Rhinolophus ferrumequinum: one gene and its partner. Each later gene encodes a partner of the first gene's protein in a complex. Links are inferred from orthologs where the notes say so. Each region holds a gene or a part of one and is shown in the gene's direction. Other genes may lie near its edges.

Evidence for each region. The genes of interacting proteins can lie anywhere in the genome.
Region 2: the proteins of ATP8B1 (region 1) and TMEM30B are in contact, whole or in part, in a cryo-EM structure (PDB 7VGH), measured with the Homo sapiens proteins. The link is inferred for Rhinolophus ferrumequinum from reciprocal best matches to the Homo sapiens genes ATP8B1 and TMEM30B. Residues at the interface, in NP_001361314.1 of Homo sapiens: Trp362, Val366, Ser369, Ser370, Trp371, Tyr372, Leu373, Tyr374, Asp375, Gly376, Phe418, Trp421, Asp422, Leu423, Tyr426, Asp431, Pro433, His939, Trp942, Arg946, Tyr968, Phe971, Asn972, Gly973, Ser975, Ala976, Gln977, Leu1003, Gln1005, Phe1049; in NP_001017970.1 of Homo sapiens: Gly9, Ala10, His11, Gln12, Pro13, Asn15, Phe18, Thr19, Gln20, Gln21, Arg22, Leu23, Pro24, Ala25, Trp26, Gln27, Pro28, Leu30, Ser31, Ala32, Ala35, Leu38, Phe39, Phe46, Leu49, Leu53, Tyr109, Tyr111, Asn116, Phe117.

What each region holds. Positions count from the first base shown.
Region 1 is NC_046302.1:46,736,506-46,744,795, reverse strand, and holds the start of ATP8B1 (phospholipid-transporting ATPase IC), read left to right. Parts: upstream 1-5,057; 5' UTR 5,058-5,168; intron 5,169-5,586; exon of another isoform or gene 5,587-5,684; intron 5,685-8,290. UniProt on the Homo sapiens protein: Catalytic component of a P4-ATPase flippase complex which catalyzes the hydrolysis of ATP coupled to the transport of phospholipids, in particular phosphatidylcholines (PC), from the outer to the inner leaflet of the plasma membrane.
Region 2 is NC_046289.1:33,820,478-33,828,139, forward strand, and holds the start of TMEM30B (cell cycle control protein 50B), read left to right. Parts: upstream 1-4,545; 5' UTR 4,546-4,677; coding exon 4,678-5,739; 3' UTR 5,740-7,662. UniProt on the Homo sapiens protein: Accessory component of a P4-ATPase flippase complex which catalyzes the hydrolysis of ATP coupled to the transport of aminophospholipids from the outer to the inner leaflet of various membranes and ensures the maintenance of asymmetric distribution of phospholipids.

The sequences.
Region 1 (8,290 bases):
CCCAATACACATACTCTTTAGACAGTTTAGGAAAGTAAAGAAGGCAGTATTCATCCACAGCATAGATTGCTATAACTTTATGGAAGAACTTGAATACCATTCTTTCTATTGCTCCAGTGACAGCAACAAAGGCTTACACGTGTCCTACTTCTAATAAAGCAAAACCTTTTCCTGTACCGGAGGCACACTGTTTCTAGAATGACGTAAAGAAGATCAAATCACAACCCACAAAATAATAGGAACCAGAGAGAAATAGATGTTTAGAAGCCCTTAAAATAGTGGTGGGTTGTGATTGGTCAGATATTTCTGGAAACCAATGTGGAAAATGCATAAATGTTCCACAATAGCAAATGATGAAGTCATCAGTAGAAGAAAATACTATACAGCTATCCACACACACACGCACACACACACACACAGAGAGACTGTGACGATGCAGACCATTCATTCATTCTACAAAAATTAATAGGCACGTGGAGATGTTCTTTGCCAAGTGAGACCAAGAAGAAGACGACTCCATCTTGGGTCTCACAGGGCTCACAGTGCGTTGGGTAGGAGACAAACAGTTAAAAAACAATGAAGTAAAGGCGTCCCCAGAAGTAAGGTGCAAAATGCTATGGAAGCTACTGTCTGGGGGAGAGAAGGGCAAAGATGACTCAGAGGAAGTCACTTTGGAGCTGGCGATCAGGGAGAAGAGAACAACTTCTCAAGCCGAGGGAGGATCAAATGCTATTCAGCATTCAGTGAATTGCACACAGTTTGGGATGCGGGGAGCTTAGCATACCAGTCGTGGGGAAGGAGGGACGAAGTTAGAAAGGTAGACATGTTTTCATAACACAATGGTCAATTGTGAAAATAGAGCGTAAGGTAATACGTACGCACTTCTTACAGCTACACGAAAACATGGCTACACATACTAACGATGAGCACAGGACATTGGGGACATTTATTCATTAAATTAATTATGTAAATTAAGTTTAACTGGTGTTATATTATCAACATAAGTTCAATGTAATGTTCATTTCATTCTCCGTGGATAGATAGTAGGTTATTCATGTATCCTTTAGAAAAGAAAACTGTAGAGTAATCCTGTACATTTACGTATCATGAATATGAAAGAAAGAGAAGTGAATTTTAATAATGTGCTCACAAATAATACTTCTTCTAACCTCTCAGAAATATTAAGCCAAAATAACAGACACAATTACCTGACGTTTAATGTTACTCTTGCAATCCAATTTTTTAATTTAAAATGTTGGTCAGAAAAAAGAAGTCGTTAAATAGTAAAGGAAATGAAACGAATGTAAGGAATTTGGAAAATTATTTGGCAGTGATAGAATATATCATCTGTATCTATTTTAAATACCACTTAAAAGAAAGTAGGCAAACTAGTCGAAGTCGCTAATTTTACTTATTAAAAAGTCAGATTCATATAAGAGGTACCTTCGTATCATGTTTGCAATTCTGGAGCTGGTCTAGACAATGGCTGTGAAGAATTCAGCTTCCAACTGAGTTAATCTTGACTGCCAAGCATGGGTTACAGTAACACCTAGTGGGCCACGACTACCTTTCCATTGGCATTAAATGCTTTAGCTTAAATGACCACTGAGTTTAGCAAAGAACTGAATACAGGCAGTATCACCTCCCTTTAAACATATCTTTTATCCCTTAGCTCTTATCTCGTAGAAAAATATTCTAGGAAATGCATTTTCAGTAAAAGTGAGCTAGTTCTCTTGGCAACCTCCCCAACTTTTCTACCCACATCATGGAAATACACGGGAGTGTTGCCAAGAAAAGGAAAACAACACACACATACACACACACACACAGTTGGAGGAAATTACGAACTACAAAAGCTGAAAAGCATTGTCACCCTTTTAGAAATGACTGTTTCTTTGTTGCGTGCGTGAGACACTTTCAATGATTGACCTGACAAGGCACCCTGAAATCTGGCACAGTTCTTTCAGAGAGAACAAGGGTCAGGATTTCCAGGTGAGCCACTTCCGTTATCAGCAACAGCACAGCAGCTGACATGTTCTGAAGATTTCCTTCCCAGTGACCAGGAAGGCTCGGAAGGCTTAGGTGAGGGAAACTCACCAGGACAAGGCTTGAGCATGCCCTTTCCTGGTGGGTTCCAGGCAAGATGGGCCTTCAAAGAATTTCTTTCACTGAGAAAGAAACCCCCTCACCTTGCAAGTCTTTTTCAAATGCAGTTCTTTATGAAGCCTACCCTGACCACATTATTTAAAATTGCAGCTCACTCTCCCACTCCTAATCTCTTTACCCTGCTCTATTTTTATGATTTTTTAAATGGACACATCTTAAGTGTACAGGTCAATGGACTCTTATCTCCGCATACTCTCATCTAACCACCACCCAGATCAAGGTATGGAACTCTTACAGCACCCTAGATGGCTCCTTTAGTGGCCTCCTGCCAACCAGTCCTGTTCTATTTTTTTCCAAAGCATTTGTCATCTTTTAAGATACAATTTGCCGGATTGGTTCACTGATTTATCTAAGTAACCAGAACAGTGCCTAGCACATAGTAGGCACTCAACAAATATTTCTTAAATAAATGAATCTTTGAAACAATACCCATCGTGTCCCGTTGCCCACACTTCCCCCCGCCCTGTGGTCTGTGAGAGCAGCAATCTAACTTGACGTCTTCAGTGTCTATTCCCAGGTGTTAAATGCAGCTGAAGGAATGGTATTTATCAAATTGGGGTGTGGGTGTGGTGTGGTTTGGATGTATCCTAGCGTAGGATCTGTTTTCCTAGACAGATTGAGCACGTGCTGATAGATGTGGAAGAAGGAAGGGGTCCTTCCTTTAGTCGAGAGTCGCCTCTTGATTCCTAGGTTTACTGGCATTTCTCCTGGCAGGGCAGAGCCCCCTCAGCGTCCTCCCTCCTTCTGACTCCGCTGTTCCTACTAATGCCATCACCCAGCCGGGAGAATTTGCTCATCTCCTATGCCTCCCTCTGCCGGCCACTTGCAGGCTCTGGCCACTCTGCGTCTCGGCCATTTCTCCTCGGGATGTTCCTGGACGCGCCTCTGTCTTTGCACGTCCACTGGCAACTTCTTCAGGCCCACCTTATGTTGCTGTGGTAGCCTGCCAGAGGGTACCTCCATGTTCAGTCTTACCCTATTCCAAACTATCCCCACTCCTGTGCCTAAAACACAACCTTGATCAGGTCACTGCTGTGGTCATAAACTCCCAGTGGTTTACAGGCGCTGCCAAGAGCAAGCCCAAAGTCCTTAGCTGGCATTCCAGGACTTCCGGGCCCCAACTCCCTCACTAACCTTATGTAGTACCATTGCAGTGCCAGCCAACTGGTCTACCCCATTGTCGCTAAACAGACTGTGTTTTCAGGCCTTTGTACTTTGCTCTGTTGTTGGGTTCAGAAAAGAAGCACTGAAAGGAACCGCTTGAGATCATCTGGTGCAGTCTCATTTTACGGATGAGGAAACTGAGGCCCTGAGAGATTAAATGACTGACCATCACTACCTAGTCAAAGATCAAGTGTGACTAATGAAAAAGAAACCCAGGGCAGTCTAGGGTTTAACTGTATCAGTTGATTCGTTCATATACCTTCATTCCTGAAGGTCAAATCAGTGGACCACTTTTTTATTTTTTAAAGACTAAATAATTTTTTAAAAAATTTTTATTGGGGAATATTGGGGAACAGTGTGTCTCTCCAGGGCCCATCAGCTCCAAGTCGTTGTCCTTCAATCTAATTGTAGAGGGAGCAGCTCACTGGCCCATGTGGGAAAGGAACTGCCAACCCTGAGGTTCATAGCTCCCACTCTAACAAATTTAGCCATCCGGCTGCCCCAGTAAACCACTTTTTGAATATCTTCTTCATACTATTCTGATTCCTAAACGTGTGAGTCTTTGAATCTCGCCTCAAGCATGGCCTCCTCGCTGAAGTCTCCCGTAAGCCCCCGTTTGCAACTCTGAGCTCTCAATGCAATGACCTGAGCCTCTCTGATCTGCAGGTAGGTGAAGTCCTATCTCCCCTGCTACATTTTAAGCAGACTGTGATTCATCTTCGACTTTCCTTCATTCGTATCCCAGCGGCTTGTCCATAGCTAGTGAGCAGTAAAATTCTTCTGGTGTAAGGAGTGTACTGTACTATATATCCTGCCAGGGAGAATCGTTTCACATGCCCAGACACCAGCTATCTATCAGCCTTGCATGGGAGTCCAAATTTTCCAACCACATCGTGCCATTCACATGCCATACCCTGACTCCTATTGACCTGTAAAGGTGAGGGAGTTTGGTCTCAGCAGAAAGCCTGCTGCTGCAATTACAGGATAAGTTTCTCGAAGTCTTTTGGCAGTGTCTCTTTCCCCACCCTCCGCGCGTCGAACCGCGACACGCATTTGATGACCTATCCGGGAACGTGACTTGGCATCGAGAGGGTACAGCTCCCCTTACCGAGGGAGCTCAGGTCCCGGGCGAGCCGTGGCCCGCCAGCTTTCCGGGCTGGCGCGGTCACCGACCCCGGGTGGTGGCCAGGACGGCCGAGGGCTGCGGGAAAGTGACGCGAGTCTGGTGGGGCGGGGTGGCGAGCGCGGCCCCCTGGGAGGCGGGAGCACCCGGGGAGCTGAAAGCGGCCACAGCTGCCAGGTCGCGGAACGGACGCGGCGGAGGCCACGGCCGGGGGCCCAGCAGCCGCCGGGGCGCACGGAGGGCACGAGGCTGGATCCGGGCCGCGTTATCCGCCCAGTGGACTCGCGGTCCAGCCCCTCTCCGCCCCCAGGAGGGACAAAAGGAGAGCGGACGGCTGGGCCCGCCCCTAGCCCCTGCTGTGCGCCGCGGCTGCCGAAGGGAAACTGGAGGCACGATCCCGGAGCGGAGAAACCAGTTTGGCCGGTCCCGAGGAGCGGAGGGAAAAGGGCGGACGCAGAGGAAGGGCGCGCGGACGCGGGGCGGGGAAAGGCGAGGAGCCATTGGCGAGTTGCGAGAGCCCGAGGAGCCGCCGCCAACTGGACTAGCTTCCCGGAGCCCCGGGCCAGCCCCCGTGAGCCATGAAGCGCTAGCGCCGCGGCCAGAGCTGGGGCCGGGCGGGCTGGCGGGCGGGCGGCGGCGGCGGCCAGGTGCGCAGCGAGCGCGCGGAGAGGCGCGCACCCGGCGGATGCCCCAGCCGGGGCCCAGAGAGCGCCAGGTAAGCAGGGGCGCGGCGCCAGTGTCCCCCGACCTTCCCCTCCTCATCGGCCGGGAGGGTCCTCTGACTGCCCCTGTGTCAGCGAACTCTGGGGATCCGGGATGCGGTGGCAGCAGCTGTCCGCGCCCTCGGGCTCCTGAGTCCGCACGGGTGGGATTTGGGTGGGGGTGCCTGGAGCCTTCGCGGCCTCGGGGATGGGGAAGCACAGCTGACCCGGCAAGCAGCACTGTGGAGCGGTCCATGGGGTTTTACCACCTGCTGGGAGGAGACGGAACTCGAGGGAGGTGTTTGGGTTCTTCGCTCGTTTGCTTACACACATGACCAGGGTTCAGCTTCGAGGGTCAAGCCTGGCGGGGCTTGCGGGTTCTCGGGAAGGGCCGTTGGCTTCCCATAAAGTGTTCTGCTGCCCCTCTGGAAGTCGCCAGTGGCCGGGCTCTGCCGGAACCCCCTTTGGGAGCCGATGCCAACGCGTCCGAAAAAGACCTTAGGGCCAAATGTACCTGACCGCACCTGCGGGTAAGGATGGAGCGTGAGATCGCCTCCACCGGGACCAGGCACCATTGGACATCTTCTGTGCGCTTTTACGCAGGTTGGGAGGTGGTGGGGAAAAGGGTTACTTTGGTGATTGTAGGGTCGTGTCTGCCAGCTCCCATCGTACTGACTGCTACAGCCCATCTCCGTCCCTTCCCAGTTTGATGGCCAGGGTTGTCTCCTCGGTTTATGCGTGCTGAATCGCGACTTGTAGGGCGTGGGTGGTGTTGCAGAGAATGGCAAGTGTTCTAACCTCTCACGTCCCCATCCCTCCCCAAGTGAAAGAAAAGCTAGAACTGTCCGCGCAACTTCTCCCAGGAGGTGTGAGCGCCTGGTCCCCACGGGGGGAGCCTCGGAACGTAGAATCGTGACAGCTGTAGAGGTAGGACGAGGATGCAGAACGGGAGAGCGGGGTGGACATGCGCAAGTAGGGGGGACCCGGGCCACATTTCCGTCCAGTGACGCCCCCTCAACCTCAGCCGACCCTTTCGGCCTGCCGGGGCAGCCTCTGGCGGGCGCCAAGTCCTGCTTGGGTAGCTCCGGACGCCGCGGAGTTCCCCTCCCGGAAACCCGTCCGCCCTGTTGGCTTGAGAAGAGAGTCCGTCCCATCTTCCACGTTGCATTGCCTTCAAATGTCTTTCTCCACTCCTTGAGAATTAAAGGAGACAACGTAGGCGAAGTGCTTGAACTTCACCCGCCAAACAGTAGGTTAGGGACCAAGGTTAACTGCTTCTAGGAACAGAAACTGAAAAATGATGTGTGATAAAAAGTCTGCAGTGATAGTAAATACAAGTGCATATAAAAAGAGGAAACAACACAAAACGTGAAATAGAAGTTCTGATTTTCATCGTCTCAGGAGTACTTTTGTGTTAGACCTAAAACGCCATTGATTAATTCTGGCCTATTTTTGCAAGCCTAAAAACAAACAAAAAACAAAAGAAAAATTATTATAAATGCATGTACTGTGCAAAAGATGATTAATAGTTATTAGCTGATTACTGTCTGGGGAGAAGTCAGTCTGCCTGCAATTACCCCTCTGAATTCTCTTAATGGTTTTCATTATGTAGTGAAGGCCTCCTAATTTTATAATTGGTAAGAAACCTTAACAGCTTTTTTCACTTGCCATTTTCTAGTGGCCGGTGCTCTGGTAACTTTTAGTGATTTTTCATGTCTGCTATTGAGGGCCAAACAAGACCCATATGGATAATGCTAGTGAACACAAATAACCATCTGTGTGAGAGCAGCTCTGGCTACTTTCAAGCTTTCCTTCTGGTTTTTGTTTTAAGGAAAATGCATGCAAGTGTGCACTTACTACTTGTTAGTGATAGAACTGGGCGGTGTTTTGTTTTTAGTTTTTATAACTGACGCTTTAAAAATAATGGATTGGTAAAGCAAATGGCTTAACGAAAAGAAGCTGCAGGTGTAAGTCAAGTTCAGGACTAGTTCCATGTTTCATCTGGATTTCAGCCTCTGTGATCTTAGCACTAATGACACTGAGCAGATCTGACTGTAAAATGTTTCTTTCCCTGTCTGTCTGTATTCCCTTCTTCCTTCCTTCTTTCCTTTCTTCCTTCTTTCCTTCCTTCCTTTCTTCCTTCTTTCCTTCTGTCTTCCTTTGAAAGCAAGGAGCAGTGGAAAACATGGATTTAGATTCCCACAGATTTCATTTCCTTTACTTAAATTGTATTTAATTTTTACAATTTATTTTTATTATATTTATTTACTCTTTAAATTGTATAACCTCAGATGAATTCCTAAAATTTCTGAACCTCAGTTTACTCATTTGCTGGGGAAAAAAAGATAATTATTAGCCTGCTTGGGTTGAGAGAATTAAATGAGAGAACAGGTGCCTGATCCATATGTTTTCTTGTTTTCTTTCTTAAACTGACATTTTTAAAATTAGTATGATGTCTAGGTAGTTGGTATATTTTAAATAGTGTATTGCCTTACTAATCTCAATTCCATTTTGTTTTTCATAAACAGCACTCATGGAATCCTGGTGACCGTTATAACCCATTCCAGAGAGATTTTAATCTATTAGTCACCTTTTCTCTTTAGTTTCAATCATTGTAAAAGAAGCCTATGCTCTTTTTTTCCCAAAGGATTAAAGACTTTTTTTTTTTTTTTATTGGGGAACAGTGTGTTTCTCCAGGGCCCATCAGCTCCAAGTCGTTGTCCTTCAATCTAGTTGTGGAGGGCGCAGCTCACTGGCCCATGTGGAAATCAAACTAGCAGCCCTGTTGTTCAGAACTTGCACTTTAACCAACTGAGCCGCCCAGCCGCCCAAGCCTATGCTCTTATGAATGCAGATGAATTTGCTTTTTAGGTAGTAGAACGAGTTTTATGGGGCCCATTCATGACCCATATCTCTACAGAGAGGTGATGTTTAGGTTTCTTAGGACTTAATTTTAGAATTTGCTTCTATATTTGCGTCTAGATTAATTTCTTAGGAAGTTTTTCTTTGCGATGTCTTTAGGTATCTTGTGATTTTTCAGGTCTGGTTGTTGGCATCATTCAGTTAAATTAATTGTATTCATGTCTGTAGGTGTTTTGTTACCTTATTAAGATAAGAAAAATTAATTTGCTGCAAA
Region 2 (7,662 bases), on another chromosome or scaffold:
AGTCAGCATAAGGAAGGACCTCTTGAGATGACTAGGTACAGAAATCTTTGCATTGAAAGAGATATTCACTATCATTTTGGCAAATATGCTCATACAGATAAGCAATCAGGAGACCAGAGAAGTTAAGCAATTTGACCAAGGTCACAATTATATCCTGACAACTCTAGAGTACAACTTGGACTTCCTTAATGTCAGGCCGCATTCTTTCCCTATCCTATACTGCTTCTCCTAGTATCTGATAGATTTTTTAGCATAGACTAAATATATTCTGTGGTTAACAACTAATTTTGTTGGCAAAGTTTTGGTGAATGTAGTAATGTATACAGCGTTGTGATGGTATCAAAGACTCTAGCTGTATGTATCTTTAAAAAGTTTGAACTTTAAGCCCCTTGCCTACTTTTAGAAATTCATCCTAAGGAAATACGGTTGACCCTTGAACAAGACAGGTTTAAACTGCGTAGGTCCACTTATTCGTGGATTTTTTTCAATATACTGGAAAATCTTTTGGAGATTTCCTTATTACCATGAAGCGATCATATCCATTATACTAGGCTACCCAAAGCAATTATATTGCTGCTTCTTCGTTATCAATGGATCGTTATACCTGTAAATAAATATGAATTTCTTTTTCACATTATCTTTTCATTTTTGATGTCTAGCATTAGTAATATGTATAACATTTACAGTGTTTTGTATCATATAAGACAATATTGATGTAGGTTACTGACAGACAATTCATTTTATAAACAGATGACATACGATTATGATATCAATAAATACAGTACTGTAAATGTATTTTCTTTACCTTATGATTTTCTTAATAACATTTTTTCTCTAGCTTACGTTATTGTAAGAATACAGTATATAATACATATAACATACAAAATATGTGTTAATCAACTGTCCATGTCATCAGTAAGGCTTCCAGTCAAAAGTACACTATTACTAGTTAAGTTTTTGGAGAGTCAAAAGTTATACGTGGATTTTTGACTACGTGGGGGTCAGCACCCCTAACCCCTGTGTTGTTCAAGGGTCAACTGTAATATAAAAGGTTATATGCAAAAAGATGTCCACTGCTATATTCTTTGGAATACTGAAAAACTGGAAATAATTTATATGCCCAACAACAGAAGTGTAGTTAAATATGGTAGATCCATGAATTTTGAAACCATTAAAAAATTATAAAACCACAAAGACATATGGAAAATATTTTATTCTTCATCTCATTCCAAAAGGAGGTAATTTAACAAGAGAATGATAATAATTGTATTTTTATCATATAACCAATAAGAAATATAATATTTATATGGATAAAATCCAAAAGATAAAATGGAAAAATTATTTACATCTTAGAAATACTGGAATTGGGAATGCCCTTTTCTTTCACTTTGAGTTTTCTTTATAATAAAGAGGTGCAATGAAGAATTGTTTAGAATGAACTCCTTTGTTTACTTTAATGGTACTGAGAAGACTTTAAATGACCCAGATGACCTTGGATGCATCATGGTAACACGTATAATCAAATGAAAGACATAAGGTCATATAATGAACTTTCTGAGAGTGACAATGATGTATATCAGTCTTGACCTTCAGAACTTATGAGCTGGTAGAGGAAATATGACATACACATGGATCTTGGCACTGTTCCACTTGCAAAATCTTTAACATCTCATTTCATACCAGTGCCTTTTCCCTCCCAGCTTTCATGCCACCTGTTCCTTAACATCATCAGGACTGCCAGCCTACTGGTCCCTGTGTTTTCTTTTCATTCACCAGCTTGGTTTCATTTTCCTTGCCATTAGGCTTAAACACTAAAGCCTATTCCTTTAGTCACCTCCTCCACAAGAACCACAGTATCTCAAACCTTTACCTTTCCGATTCACCTGCCCTGAAAACCCCCGTTTGCTGGACACAGTCAATCATTTGCCATCTCACATCCTGGGTTGCAGGAATCCCTAGACAAAGCCATCCAACATCCTTTCATGTAACCCTGGCCAGTTCTTTCTCCCTCTCCTCAAAGCCTTCCTGGCCAGTTCTTTCTCCCTCTCCTCGAAGCCTTCCCTGCATCTCACACTTTCCCTTCCGCCCCCTTCCCCAATTTTTACTGCATAGAAATTCTTAAATGAAAACTTTCTCTCCTTAAGCGGAGCCCAAAGTCCCGGTGCTTTCTGCATCCAACCTTACTCCCTGCTCTCCAGTTTCAGAGGTGAAGTGACTCTGCACCTGTTCTCTGGACCCAGCACCTTTTGCCTGTTCCTGCCTTTGTACCATCCATGAATATGTCACGCCTGTCTTCAACCTTGCCTGAACTATTATCATCTTCCCTCAGAATAAACACTTGTTTGCCCTCTATAAAGAAGCCTTTCCTTTTGGATACATACTCTTCTAAATGATTTCTACTTGCCTTTCTCCTTCCCTTACCACACATTTCTAAAAAGAGATATCCTATCTTGGCTTCTCTACTTCCTCTCTCCCTCACGTGATAGAGCCTGACTCTTCCCACCCCTCCACCCAAACTGTTCACACATAAGTCAAATTCAGTGCTCCTTTTCATTTCTTATCTCACCTGAACCTTCAGCTGTTTCACCCTGTTGACTATTCCCTGTCTTGATTTTCTCTTTTGGCCTTTGGGACCCTCTGATTGTTACCTTACTTAGCAGGATGAATAAACTTCAGGTCATCCAGGGAGGTGAGAGCTGGAAAGGCTCTCCGTTCAAGAGAACTTGCATTTTTAAGGGAGTGTTGTGTCATGGCAGTTGTTAAGACGTAAGATTCACTATATTAAGTTTTGAGAACTGAATTCCTTCCTCGAGACTAGTTCTGTGGACTCTATGTCAGGCTGACTAATGATTCAATGATTTGTAGTGAGTGGAACTCAACCATAATGATACAGAGAACTGTTTATTCTTTCATCTTATTGAAAAAAAAAGGTGTAGTGGAAACTGGAGCATGCTATAGGAACTTGTTGGCATTTCCTCTCTTGGGATATGACTAGAAGTGAGGGAAGTGGAATTCAAGTCATCTAGGTCTCCCTCAGTAATTTCTAATAGTTAAAGCATCCAAACTGCATTCATTCCACTCAGCGTGATAGAATGAATTTTTCATTATTAAAACAGTATTACCCTTTAATTTTAGTAACTTTCTTGTAAGGTATACAATTTGGTACTTGATTGCATGCTGTCTATTGGCTATTTTGATTTTTTCTTACTCCTAAGTAATATGTCTCCTATCAGACTGCAAATGTGTTGAGGTCAAAGGTCAATTTTAGTCTTATTCTCTTCTATTTTCTCTATTGCTTAGCAGCTTAGCATAGGACGGAACACTTGGAAGATGCTAAAAAAAATTCCTGCCATTTAATTTAGCAAGTATTTTAACTTTCCAAATTTCAAGGGGATTTGAATGACTCCTGAATACAGTATATTACTCTGGGCACAGAAATATAATATAAAAAGATATTTAAGCTATTTGCATTTTATGAGCTGTAGGCGAGACAAGAACACCTCAATAATACCTAGGGAGGATTTAGCACAAAGTTGAAACTTTTAGCACAAAGTTGTATATTGTACCAACCTAGATATAAAAGCCAGAAGCTCAAGCGATGTTCAGAGCTAATTTACAATAAGTTCTGTAAATCCTTGTAGTTCACCTCCTTAAGGACATTGCCAATGTCCTTCCTGTGGAGAGCACCTAGATCTTTTGGGACCCTGGATCAGGCCTTTCTGCAAATAATCAGGCAAATACAAAGGAAAAGAAATCACATATAATCCAGTGTATTTTTCTCCTTGTGTGGTTTGGTTTCTCCACCAGCTAGAGATATATTAATATATAAAGGCTCTCACTCTCTTGCAGTCTAATCCTCTTTTTTAAGTCATTTTATTTTTAGAGAACTTTCCAATCTTTTTCAGTTATACAGACAGATTGGGGCACCTGGCCGGAAAATAATTTTTCCTTTACAAAATATGCTAGAATGTGAATGCAGGCATTGAATTTGAAACAGATTTACCCTAGTGTAATCCCCTGGACATTACCATTTGTGGCTGCAAATTGACTGAATGGTGGTCCATAAGTTAACCTACAAAGGCAAGAGGATCTAGTCACTTTTTTCTCCCAGGTAAAATAGGATTAATAACCTAAAATCTTCACGTTTCCAGGACCCACGGTGCAATCCCTCAGTGGAACTCTGTGCTGGAGGCTGCAGCACCTTTGGTTTCGGGGAAAGACTGGCCCAGGCACTCTAGTCACTTGGAAGAGGAAGGGAAGGTGGTACCTGAGTAAGGTATGAGCCACTCACAGGCAGCCTCGAGCCGCCACTCACCTCGAGGAGGAGGAGCTGGCGCCCAGACCTAAAGGAAACGCGAGCCTCGGGTCCACCAGGTGTGGAAAGGAACGCCCGCCTGGCTCACCTCGGGAGGCTGGGCGAGGCTCCCGATTACCAGGCGGGGCGGAGCCGGCCCGGATCACCTAGACCGAGGCGGAACTGTGTGGGGTCTGGTCACTGCTCGTAGAACCTGGAAGTCAGGCTCACCTGTGCGGGGCCGGAGACGGGGCCAGGACCACAACTCACCTGAGCCCGCGGAAACCCGACCCGAGAGTAGCCCCCGGACTCGCCCAGCGCGAGGCGGGAGGCGCCCCCGGCGGGCCCCACACCTTCCGTCCGTCCGTCCCGGCGCGGTCGCCATGACCTGGAGTGCCACGACCCCGGGCGCCCACCAGCCCGACAACACCGCGTTCACTCAGCAGCGCCTCCCCGCCTGGCAGCCGCTGCTGTCGGCCGGCATCACGCTGCCGCTGTTCTTCTGCGTGGGCCTCGCCTTCATCGGCCTGGGCCTGGGCCTCTTCTACTCCTCCAATGGCATCAAGGAGCTGGACTACGACTACACGGGCGACGCCGGCACCGGCAACTGCTCGCTGTGCGCCCTGGCCGACCAGGACCGCGCGCCGCCGCGCAACTGTTCGTGCGCCTGGTACTTCTCGCTGCCCGAGCTCTTCCAGGGCCCCGTGTACCTCTACTACGAGCTCACCAACTTTTACCAGAACAACCGGCGCTACGGCGTGTCCCGCGACGACTCGCAGCTCAGCGGGCTGCCCAGCTCCCTGCGCCACCCAGTCAATGAGTGCGCCCCCTACCAGTACAGCGCGGCCGGCCGGCCCATCGCGCCCTGCGGCGCCATCGCCAACAGCCTTTTCAACGACTCCTTCACGCTGTGGCACCAGCGCCCGGCTGGCGGGCCTTACGTCGAGGTGCCGCTCGACCGCACCGGCATCGCCTGGTGGACCGACTACCACGTCAAATTCCACAACCCGCCGCTGGTGAACGGCAGCCTGGCACTGGCCTTCCGCGGCACCGCGCAGCCGCCCAACTGGCCCCAGCCGGTCTACAAGCTCAGCTCCGACCCCAACAACACCGGCTTCATCAACCAGGACTTCGTGGTGTGGATGCGCACGGCGGCGCTGCCCACGTTCCGCAAGCTGTACGCGCGCATCCGCCAGGGCAACTACTCCACCGGGCTGCCCCGCGGCGCCTACCGGGTCAACATCACCTACAACTACCCGGTGCGCGCCTTCGGCGGCCACAAGCGCATTATCTTCACCAGCATCTCGTGGATGGGCGGCAAGAACCCCTTCCTGGGCATCGCCTACCTGGTGGTCGGCTCCCTCTGCATCCTCACGGGCTTTGTCATGCTGGTGGTCTACATTCGCTACCAGGACCAGAACGACGAGGACGAGGACGAGGAGTGATTCCTGCTTTCAAGGCATCCTTCCTCCATGCCTAAACGCTCCTGCAAGCTACTCTGGCTACTCTCCCTCGCCCCTCACCCCATTCCAACCTCACCTCGCTTTCCCTCCTGTTGTGGGTGAGGGGACCAGAGAGAGGGATGATACCCAATTGGGGGCTACCAGACTCTTGCTGGGGAGCTTGGGCTGCAGAGTGACACAACCTTGCAAATTCTCCCCACCTCCGTCGTGATTTACCTAGTTGACAGGTTAGGTTATTAAAGTCCTTAGCATTCGAGAACTGGAAGGGGCAGTGGAGACTCCTATTTAACTCTTATCTGATGAAGAGATTGAAACCTACCGGTAGAGATATTAAATAACTCATTCAACATCAGGCAACTCATCGTTGGCTTCTGACTGACTCTAGAGCTTTTACTACTACACGATAGTGGGTTGTTTTCTTTTCTTTTTTTCTTTTTCTTTTTTTGGTTGTGGTGGTGAGGGCGGGTAGAGAGTGGAGCCTACAAATCACCTGCAGAGGTATGGAGGGGTGGGGCAGGACATTCTTGTTTAAAATGTAGATAGATTAGGAGACACCATCCCCCGAGATTCTGACACAGTAAGGCTGGTTTGAGACCCTTGAAGCTGCGTTTTAACAAGCCCATCTGGAGATTCCTCCTATATTCCTTCAAATTTGGAGGAATTTCACTGCCCTGTACCAGTGAAGAAGTAGAATACTGGATTTTTCCCTGTTTCCTCCTATGTCTGAGGTTGGGCCTGAAGCAATCACCTCAGTCCAGTTTTTCAGGTAGTCATTTGTTCCCAGGGTCAGTGACAATGCTGCAGGTTTGATCCAGCGCATTCTACCTTGAACATGGGAGGGAATGTTTTAACCTTAGAATTAAATAGCTGGAAGGGATCTTAGAGTGAAAGTGCTTTCCCTACGTCAGACCTGTCTCCTGACTCCTGACCTAGTCCTCTGTCATCTAAATTCGTTTCTATGCTTAGAGAGAAAGGACTACATTCATACCTTTTTCTTAGGTCTAGAAAAAGCTTTTTAATCTATGTTCTCAAGTGAAGAATGTTTGTTTTTAGTAATTACGTTTAAATGCATGCTAAGGAGTAGTCTTATATGTAAAGTAGAACTTAAGAATCATTTGAACATTTGAGATAATGTTAACTAACTACTCTAAAATCATTCTAATATATACAAAGTTACTCTAAGAAGTAATAGAATTTTTAAAAAAAATCTTTTATGGCTAAGGAACTTTAAAAAAATCCTTAGTGATACCATCTTAACCAGTTGATTTGCTGAAAGCAAACAGTTCTATGGTATTCTGTCAGACAGAATTACAGCTACTTTCTAGTTACTACTGTTTTTTGCTCAGGACTGTAAGGCAGTGCAAGACCTTGAAGTATTTTTGTAATAATCAAAGAAATACTGAATTGTATTGAGTAATTTACATTTATTTTAGTCTACTCTAGTTCTTTGAAAATTAATGATCGATGGATGGCGTGCATGTTCATTATACCTGATCTATCTTCTGGAATGTTGTAATTTAAGAGGTTCTGTTCCACTATTTACATAAACTAAAAAATATTTTAGCATTTCCAATATGTTGGCTTCCTAACTCCTGAAGGTGACACAATTTTATTATCAGATTGCATACCGTGATTTTAGGCTAGCATTATATGTACATAGAGTAATTTTTATTTATTATGAATGATCAAGCAGCTCACTAGCCTAAACCTCCTTTATGTTACATAAGAGAATTTATTACAATTTTTTCCTATGTAGTAAAGAGCAACCATGTATTTTGCTGTCACTTGTACAATATTCAGTCTATTGCTATAAAATTTTAAGTGTACTACAAAATTTAAGATATTCTGATTGAATCAATGAGTAAATTTCCAGGCCCTATGCTCTGGGTTTTTGAAAGAGAATAA